Linked DNA regions of Drosophila melanogaster. The protein of the gene in region 2 interacts with the protein of the main gene of each other region in a pairwise test. Each region holds a gene or a part of one and is shown on either strand. Other genes may lie near its edges. The genes, in order: CG3061 and Ddr.

Region 1 (5,350 bases), on a different chromosome or scaffold from region 2:
AATCGTAACAACATTGAAGATATTATTCGTGGAACATCTAGTTTCCTGTATCCCGGGTAAGTTGAAGGTGGACTTTATAGACTTTATAATTAAACATAAAACCTATATCTTTCAACCATTTGCAGGCTGGAGAAATTCTTTGTGAAAATCGGCTGGAAACAGGAGGCCACCGAAAGAATGCGCGAGTTGTCCAATCGAACCGTCGATCTCAGGGAACAGAACAATATAGTTCGCAAGGATCTGCTGCAACTTCTGCTGCAGCTGCGGAATCAGGGAAAGATCAATACCGATGACAATATTTGGTCGGCGGAAAGCACTAAGAATGGTGTTAAGTCCATGTCCAAGGACTTGATTGCCGGCCAGCTATTCCTCTTCTATGTTGCCGGTTATGAGACGACAGCTTCTACAACATCCTTTACCCTATACGAGCTAACCCAAAATCCTGAAGTGATGGAAAAGGCTAAGGAGGATGTTCGCAGTGCCATCGAAAAGCATGGCGGAAAGCTGACATACGACGCCATCTCGGACATGAAGTATCTGGAGGCGTGTATACTCGGTAAGTTTTGATGGGAATATATGGCAGTTCTTTCATATATATTTTCCATATTTTTTTTATAAATGGTTTAATATTGTATACTTTCTAACAGAGACTGCTCGCAAATATCCCGCTCTGCCACTGCTGAATAGAATCTGCACCAAGGACTATCCTGTGCCCGATAGCAAACTTGTGATCCAAAAGGGTACTCCCATCATAATCTCCCTCATCGGAATGCACCGCGATGAGGAGTACTTCCCCGATCCGCTTGCCTACAAACCGGAACGGTATCTGGAGAATGGTAAAGACTACACCCAGGCGGCCTATTTGCCATTCGGCGAGGGACCCAGGATGTGTATCGGTAAGAAGAAAGGTTCCACATGAACAGGGTGAAATGGGAGTTTGAATACTTCAGATAAGTAATACTCAAATCCACTATATCCCACCGATCTCTTTCCAATTGCCCATGGAAACTAAGAAATTTCCGTCTATTTTCCAGGCGCCCGCATGGGAAAGGTGAATGTGAAGATAGCGATTGCCAAGGTTTTGTCGAACTTCGATCTGGAGATCCGGAAGGAAAAGTGTGAGATTGAGTTCGGCGTGTATGGAATACCGCTGATGCCCAAATCAGGTGTTCCCGTGCGTCTGTCTCTCAAAAAGTAGCTCCTAGTCTTGTAATTAAACCATGTAAACCGTATAATAAACGTGCAATTTGTAATGAAAATATGGACAAACATATCAATTGGATGCACTTCTCCCTCACACAGTTACACGCACACACACAAACACAGGCACACGGGCGTACGCACCTTTGTAAATGTAAATAGTTTCTCGTTCTCCGCTTTACATAAGTCGCCCTATTTACTCGAAATTGGGGGGATTCTGAGTAAACTTTGGCTCAGCGAATATTTATTCGCATATGATCTGAATCTCCATATGGCCGGGAAATGCACTTTTTCCAGCTATGACAACACAATATGGCCGAAAAAATACTCTTTCACTTTTTCCAGGCCAAGTTGTGTGAACTGCGCCACACACACGCACATACACACACACACGAGAGCGCACGCACTGGGGACACGCACACTGTCGCACTCGCGGCGATGACGTTTTCGGCCGCAATGCACCTAATTAACGGATATTTTTGCATCTAATTCGATTGCACTCGTTCGGCGGCGACCCTTGGCTATTAGTTTGCAAATTTCCAAGTAAATACGACGAATTTGGCGAATCAGCGAATCACTCGCTTCCCATGCTGCGGCACACACTCACACGCTACCACCCACACGAACGCATACATATGTTTGTCGCCGGCGGTCCGGCAACGCTGCGGCAATGCAACTCTGCCTGGCCACTTGGCTAATTTTGGCTATTTACCAGCCAACTACTTTATAGCTAGCTGCTTATATATTTTCTTTTTGATTGTTCCAGTTTAATAATAATAATATAATACAATTATATTTAGAAATTTAAATTTTTCATAAATTGTTTTAAATATGCTTACGATTTTTATTCTTATTTATTTCTTAAAATATTAGGTGACTGGATTTTAGCAATAAAAACAAGCTATATAATAGCACAGCCTGCATATGAAAGCATCTCTGCTCGTGTTTTTTGCCTTGACTGGGTGGCAACTCCCTTGTTTTTCTCGGCTGACGAAAAATTTGACCGAAATAAATCAATTAAATTGAAAGTGTAGTGAAAAGCAAATTCACAGTGAAAAAGGTGCAAGGTGGGAGGCTAAAAAAAGCCGTGTTTAACAAGGCTTTTCGAGCCCAGAACCCAGCAGGCGTACGTGTGTGTTGGTGCGTAAGCCCATAGACGTCACACGCTCACGCACACAAATAAAGAGAGCGGAGCCTCACTATTTACTTTGATCACCACGTAGTTAACTAGCTAAAACTAGTGATTACGCACTAAGGCGCCATGGACGGAAACAAGGACGAGGCCCAGCGGTGCATCGACTTCGCGGTCCAAGCGCTCGCCGCGGGCAAAATCGAAAAGGCCGAGAAGTTCCTTCTCAAGGCGGAGAGGCTCTTTCCTACGGATAATGCCAAAAGTAAGGATAACAAAGGAAGTAGATCCACTGGATCAACTACGTTCACATTCCCATATCAATTGATGCGATTTAGTTTGGCAAGCATGCTTCCCTTTGCCTTTTAAAAGCGGTTATCTTTGAGGCTTGTTATCAGTAGAAACAACCAAGTTATGTTTGTGTTATGTCGCACCTTTCGTGGGTAAGCCAGGTAGAGTGGTACGATCTTTATCGAATTAGCTTTTAACATACAGCCTTGACGATATTCTAAAGATGAAAAGCAGTAAAGTAATAGTCATTACACAATACAAGAGATGCGTTGCATTCATTATTTTCACAAGAGCATTATTGCAGCACCTTTGTTTTAAAGTCCTTGTAAAACTTAACAACAGATCAACAACATCATGCCACAGCATTAAATGAATATTGACCTTTGACCTGCTGACGTGTTTCTTTTCCATCTTGTAGAGCTACTTGCCCAGTTGAAGAGCACTCCGAGCAACGAAAGCAATGGCAAATCCCGTACAGCGGGTGCCAGCGATGAGAAGGACAGCGGGCCGAGGAAACGTGTGAACTCGGATTCCCGTTCCAGTGCCCCAGATTACACCAAAGATCAGTTGGAAGCTGTGCGAAAGGTCAAAACGTAGGTACCACTCTATATAGCCAGCCTTTCACATTACTAATTGCATTTGTGCATTTGGTATTAGATGTAAGGACTACTACGAAGTACTGGGCGTTAGCAAGACGGCCACTGATTCGGAGATCAAAAAGGCCTACAAGAAGCTAGCTCTGCAATTGCATCCCGACAAGAATAAGGCTCCTGGTGCGGTGGAGGCTTTCAAGGCTCTCGGCAATGCTGCTGGCGTACTTACGGATGCCGAAAAGCGCAAGAACTACGATCTGTATGGCATCAATGAGTCGCACAATGGTCACGGCAACAATGGTGGCGGACACCATGGACACGGGCAATACTACAACAACGAGTATGGATATTCGCGTGGATTCCAGGCTGACATCAGTGCCGAGGAGCTGTTCAACATGTTCTTCAACGGCGGATTCCCACAGCAGAATGTCCATATGCGGCAGCAGCGACGTCGTCAGCAGGCTCGCGAGGATCGAGAAGTAAGTGTACCGAGTCGAAATCATTTGTGCACATTATAAACGACTGCCTTTTATCTCCATATCAAGGGTAACAACTCTTCGGCCTTGGTAAACTTGCTGCCCATCGTGCTGCTCATTGGACTCTCCATGATGTCGTCCTTCTTCATCTCGGACCCAATGTACAGCTTGACGCCCTCTCAGTAAGCAAACCAAATTAAAAATTAGCTTAGCACTAATGTGGATTCATTTCTCTAATCCGCAGTAAATATTCGGTGAAGCGTGAGACGAACTCCCTGAAGGTACCATACTACGTAAAGGACAACTTCTATTCAGAATATCAGGGATCAGTGGCCCGATTAGAGGAATCCGTGGAAGAGGACTTTGTGAATCATCTAAAACACTCCTGCAGTCGAGAGAGGAATTATCGTAAGTTAGGCAGAGGAACTATACTAAACTGATATTAACATAAACGATTTACAGGCGACTCAATGCTGGCCAAGGCGCGTACCTTTGGCGATCGGGATCTGTACAGAAAGGCGCAGAACATCAATACGCCATCGTGCGAGAATCTGCAAAAGTATTTAATCACATAAATTAGTTAATGCTATCACACGAAAAGCTACTCCTCAAATCCACCACTATTTGAAACCTTAACTGCTGGGTTGTGTAGTTATTGCATATTTTGCTTTAGTTGTTATAAATGAATTTCATTGTCTATTTTGTTTCATAATTTATATGTCTATTTAAATACCTTCCCTCTCTCCCCCAAAAAAAAAAATGAAACGGAATGAAACGTATAGAGCTGCTATGAGGCATCAGGTTTTCCCCAATAACGTTTGGTAGCATTTTCATTTCGTATAGAAAGCAATCGGGCAATATGTGAAAGCGAAGCAAACGCAACTGCCAAAAAGTCATATTTACACGATTTACGAATATAAGTGGGCGGCTGAGACGAAGGACTTTGCGTTTGTTTCATTTAGCAATCGGATACATAAATTATAAACATAAATTATACACGGATACGACGCATCATCACATTTTTCTTAAGGACACGGAACGCATGGGCAGTGGCGATATTCTGAATAAAATTGCAAGTTATTATAACTCCAAAATAAATTCGTTTAGACGATGTAAGCACTCTCACTCATTTGTGGGCTTAAAAGTCTTTTTGTTTTGTATTGTTTTCTTCGCTAGAGTTTATAAATGTACAAATAAAGCAGTGTGTTGTTACGCTACATAAAAGAAACAGACGGCGGATTGCTTCGGATTCCACGAGCACCTCAATTGCTGATGATGGCTTCCAAGGCGGCCACCACATCGCCGCTCTGCTCGCGGAGCACTTTCTCGGCATGCGCCTTGCTAACCAGCAGCTCGTTCATCTGAAAGGGCAGAGGGGAAGGAAACCATTACAAAAGGAAGATCGGAAGAAAGTTATCTATGGGAAACCAAAGGAGGAAATCTAAGGGAACTGGAGCTAATGCAATGAACTATATTTGTATCTCTACAATGAAAGGGAATACTTCCTTGTAGTTTCGCATACGTACAATCAGTTCAATGTCCTCCTTCTTGACTTGGACCTTCTGGAGCTCCTTCTCTTTGGCTACTCGCAGTTCGTTCTCCTTGTTACGCTGGTTGCCAAACTGCTCCACGGCCTGTAAATTATAAAAAAAAAGGATGTT
Region 2 (5,135 bases):
CAAACAGCTGTAGGGAAAAACTTGTGATAAGAACTCTTGGCTCATGCTCGACATCAATCTGTTTTCCCCCTTCTGCATTAAGTCAACAATTTGATATGCATTTTGTTTTGTTGCTGCAAACACATTGCTCTCTGTCTTAGTGGGTTTTGGAATTTTCAAAGTTGCCTTAAGCCCCCGTGCTGCAACTTTCTGACAGCCGGTGATTGAATGTTTGGCAACGACATCGGGGATTAACTCGGCAGTTATCCTTATCAGCAGTCCGATGCCACCGGGGCCATTCAGACGCTCGTTGGCCAGACATGGCCCTAATTGAAGTGGCAACTTGCTTTAAACTAATTCCCGGCGATACACGCTTCAGCCATATGTTTATTCAGAAAGTGTGCCTGTGCAGATAAAAGGTATAAGATGAATTTGTTATTGAATAATGTCAAAATCGCATAGCCTTGCTAATTTCTTGTACATAATCCCTAAACGCAAAATTAAGCACATGTGTGTAATTTATTTGCTTAATTTTAATGCATTTTTGGTGTCACATTTCTTGGGTCTTTTATTAAGATTGACTACGCATAATAATTAGAGAGTTTAAACATTACGTTTTTGTTGCACAAAAAATGTTGTAAAAGCTAACAACATTTAACTGCATTTGATACAACAAAATTAAACCAATGTAGGTTTTCTATTTTAAGGGCTTTGCCTTGAGCTCTTGTGTATTTTTGAGATACATTTTACTTTATATAAAACGTAGATATTGATTTTTCTGATTAATAAATAGACAACTGGTTTCCAAGCAAATAAAGAAATTTAAGAATCGAGGCAATATTTAAGGATGTAAATGCGCAAAAGCCTTTAGGGTTTTACTCTCTGTTTGAATAAAATGTCATAAACAGCAGCCCACTTAATTAAATATTGGTTACTTGCATCTTTTGATATTTATTTTTTCCTCTTAGTTGCGACAATTTTAAAGTCTTTGTTGTTATCTTTTTTACATTTTTTTTATGATATCATTTTTTTTTACACCTCTCATACTCGAGTTATGAATATTGTAAAGGTAGAAAAATAAACTCCATTACTATATTGGTTAATGAAAGTTGAATACATTTCGCGGTGCCATGTTGCTTTACTTTGTTAAAACTTTTTTAAAAAAAAGTTGCATTCGCTTCCGTTCAGGATAATTAATTTTTTCGATAGCCCATTTTGATTTTTTCCATAATAACTCTTTTGCTGGCCGAAAACTTTTGTAGTTGTTTACATGACCCCCATCCCCCCCGCGGAGTTCAGCTGTTAGGATCCACAGCTCCTTATTTACCTTATGTAAATGTAAATGCTTATCAACAGGCAGCCGCGCTCCGTCTTATACGACGAAACAACGAGAGTCGAAGAGAGCGGAGCACGCTCTTAAATTGCAGAACTCTCTGATACAGTTCAAGTTAATACAAAGTAACGTTGAGTTTGTTTTGTTTGTGTGGGCGGGCTGGGCGGTGAAAGGTGAAGCAGGTCCAGAAATGTAATCAATAATTTTAAATATTTAATGCGCTAGCGAGAGAGTTTTTCCAGAAAAGTTGTGAAAAGAGGTATTTTCTTTTCAAAAACTATCTTAGCAAATGTGTCCAGTTTTGTATTCAATTTTGCATCAGAAACTATGTACCTTTATTTGTATTTACAAGCCAGAATTATGGACTCACCTGTGCCAGCAACAACTCACCTCCCCCTCACACAACCTACTCATACTTTTCTCATCAAACAAATGGGATCCACATGCGAGCGAGTTTGCGCCAATGATGAAAGAGAGTGGCGCTCTTTTAACCTACTCTTTCAAGTACTCTTTGCGACAGCAGGAAACGTCGCGCAAGGAAATCGCAAATGTTTCCTCTTTCGTGTGCATGTGTGTGGTGTCCTCCGTGCTGGTTCGTCTGTGTGCGTGTGGATGACATTGTGGCACTCGTTGAGGCAGCTCCAATTGACGGGCCAGTAGTCGTTGCGAAACTTTTGCTGGAGCAACGCGTCGGACAACTGGCGGTGTTGCACCTATCGTTATCGGCCATCGGCAATCGATTGTCGGCAATCGGCTATCGACAACAAACTATCGTTATCGGTTATCGTGTGTGTCGACCTTGGTGGTGATTAGTGTTAACGGTAACTTAACCATGTGCAACATCATCAAGCGAATATTGGATCATCCGCAGGACTCCAAAGGCCTCCGAATGTCCAGGTGAGCCCGTATGCTTTTCCACCCAGTTTTGCCACCCTGGCGACCCGCTTGCCACCACGAAAATTAACCTCGTTTGGCTTAAATGTAGTTAACTAAAGTTAAACGACCTCTAATGTCGATTTAATTATGTGAAAATAAAAGTTATGATTTCGTTTTTCGGCTTTTAGCTCATCTTAATGGGGTGATTAACGGTAATTCGCATGGTCGGGACGAATCCAATAAAAAGTTTAAGAAGTAATTGAAACTAATTAAAACTATGCTCACCGAAATATGCACCTAATATTTGCTAACAGCTTTATGATGCCATTAAAGACCGGCCAAAATTTGAGGGGGAAAAGTTGGCGGCGGCCAATCAAATTTGAGTGCTCCAACTTAAAATTAAATTATTTTGCTCTACTTTAACTTACATAACTCAAACCACTAATTGCTAACAAAACAATTTCAAATGGAGCTCATAAACTAAATCTTTAGTATTTCGCAGTGCCTGCAAATTCGACTTAACTTCTTACATGCCAAAATGCCATAATTATTGTGATTGTTAAAACGAACTAATGGATTGATTATAGCTATTCACAGCTCAATAGTTGAGGTTTAATGGGGACCTTGAAGTTATGATAATGAAATGTCTGATTAAGTGATAGATACAAAGCGCATAGTTCGGGCAACAAAAGGTAGCAAACCGTTTTAGCGCCTGAAAAACCCGCAGGCATTAAGATACCAGCTCAGATAGGCGTAGAGGTGATCGTGGGAACGAACTTTGACCCCTGCCAGTGCATTCGTTTTTAATTAAATGGAAGAGTGGACAGTGGAGGCCAAAAGTGACTTTTGAAATGGTCAGGCAGATAAAAGTGCAATAACTATAAAGCGAGGGTGGCGCAAACGCTATCGGCAGTCGGATCCTGGAGGTCGTGGACTGGGCGAACCCAAACACGCACAAATTTGTTAAGCGGGTCACGTAGTCCGGGAAATCCCATGCCATCCTAGCCAGCCCCTCTGGGTGTTGTCATCAACACGAAAATAAAAATAGAAAATTAAACTTGAAACGCGCAAAATGGCTACAAATGCTCTTGCTCTGCGCTGTGAAAATCGATTTCAATAAACTTTAATTCGTTTTCGTTTTCCCCACTGAAGTCATCGGATGTGGAAACCTTGAAAATGACGCAACAAATTAAATGCCAATAATTTAAAACAATTGCGACTCGAAATGCCAAGTAAAAGCAACCTTAAAAAGCGACCAGAGCGAGATAGCGTTTTGTTTATGGCTTTTAAATCTAATTAAATTCCCATAAAGACCGCGAGCGATATCAAAAAACAGCGCTGCACGTAGAGTAAATAAATAAATAAAAAAAAATGATTTTAAACTTCAAACGGGTTCAACGACTACCAAGCCCCGCAAATAATTGAAAAAGACAACTAGGGGGCGGAAAATGCAAAACGGCGATGGGCAACAAAGGGTTAATGTGGTGCAGTAAAGTGCGTGTGACAGTCCACGAGGGCAAACTAAAAAGGGGTTGATGTAAATTGCACTAATGACCTGCATTTTGAGTTTGAACAGCGATTCATAATTTAGCCAAATGATTCGTCGAACAGAAGGTGGGAACTCAACCACCGACTTGTTTCGCATTGAAACACGCAAAATGCAAAAGCAAAGCCCTGCCTTAAACCTGTTCAATTTTATTCACCGGACCACTCATTGTTTGGAATATTATTCACCACTTGAGAGTGGAATCGCCGTCTACAGACCTCAAGTTAACAACTTTTGTCCAAGTTTGAGAAGCAATTTTAACCCATATATCCCGGTGATTAGTGGCTTCCAATCCGTGTGAACTTCAGGATCCTGAAAACCTGATATGTTATCAGAGCTACAGTTTCAGGATTAAACAGATGCTTATTATATCTATCACTTTTTATATGTAGGGTACAGCTTGCGTTTAAGAACGAGTATCTTATAGTCGAGTTCGAGCCGGGTAGAAATTATATTTAAATGCCATCCACAAGTGGACTACTTGCCTAAAAATACCTGTCTTGAATTACCCGTTATACACTCTATATAAAAACATATTAAGTCTAAAGCTGCGCAATCTACACTTGAGATCAGTATCTACCGGCAAGTAAAATAGCTACATATAATGTTCCGTAGATATTAACCCAATGATAAGATCCGTATTACGAGACATATGGGGTCTCATATAAACCGTATAATGACTCGTCGTAATCAGGTGGCGTCAATCGGACCGCTAAATGGTTTGAGATCATTATTCACACGCTCAGAACAACAAAACTGGTGTCATTCAACCTCGGGGCCGCTTGTTTAGCGAACATCATTTTGAAAAAAAGCTTTGATAAGAACTGTGCGTCGGGTCAGTGGGTGGTTGGGCGGTGGGAGGTGGGCGGTGCGTTGGGAGGAGGGCCCCATATTCGTGAAAAGCTCAGAACGGAGACGATGGCGCAAGCTCACTGCATGTTTGATGGCCTGGCATGTATATAACAAGTAAATTGCGCTAAATTTCTCTCAGTCTCAGTCCGCGAGCGAGGCAAATGCGAAGATGTCAGCGATCACCATACGCGCCATGACAATCGGGGATTACGAGGAGGTCGAGGCCTTTCTCGCAGTGCACTTCTTCAAGCAGGAGCCGCTAATGCTGATCCCCCAGGAGGATCCCAAGCAGAGCGAGGTGTCTTCCGCGGAGGCTGAGCTACACCGCTCGCTCATACCCCAGGATCTCTCCCTGGTGGCCGTCGACGGGGAGCGCATTGTGGGCGTGGTTCTGGCCGGTGAATTGGTACCCGAGGATCTGGAGAGGGAGTACCAGGAGGCTGAGCAGAAGGAGATCACGTGCCTGCTGGACAAGATACACAAGTTTCTGGCCGGGATCGAGCGGCAGGCCAATATCTTCAAGCACTACGGAGTGGAGCGGGCGCTTTA

The links.
Region 1: the proteins of Ddr (region 2) and CG3061 interact in a two-hybrid assay, tested with the Drosophila melanogaster proteins (one large-scale study listed by BioGRID).

Annotation. Positions count from the first base shown.
Region 1 is NT_033777.3:14,030,229-14,035,578, forward strand, and holds CG3061 (uncharacterized protein), read left to right. Parts: upstream 1-2,142; 5' UTR 2,143-2,461; coding exon 2,462-2,594; intron 2,595-3,038; coding exon 3,039-3,213; intron 3,214-3,277; coding exon 3,278-3,692; intron 3,693-3,758; coding exon 3,759-3,871; intron 3,872-3,933; coding exon 3,934-4,097; intron 4,098-4,151; coding exon 4,152-4,264; 3' UTR 4,265-4,813; downstream 4,814-5,350. Other genes in the region: Cyp6d5 (cytochrome P450 6d5), read left to right, coding at 1-56, 126-556, 648-896, 1,035-1,198; CG9922 (uncharacterized protein), read right to left, coding at 4,952-5,050, 5,216-5,323.
Region 2 is NT_033779.5:6,251,121-6,256,255, forward strand, and holds the start of Ddr (discoidin domain receptor), read left to right. Parts: upstream 1-2,002; 5' UTR 2,003-2,209; intron 2,210-4,738; exon of another isoform or gene 4,739-4,755; coding exon of another isoform or gene 4,756-5,135. Other genes in the region: AANATL2 (arylalkylamine N-acetyltransferase-like 2), read left to right, coding at 4,756-5,135.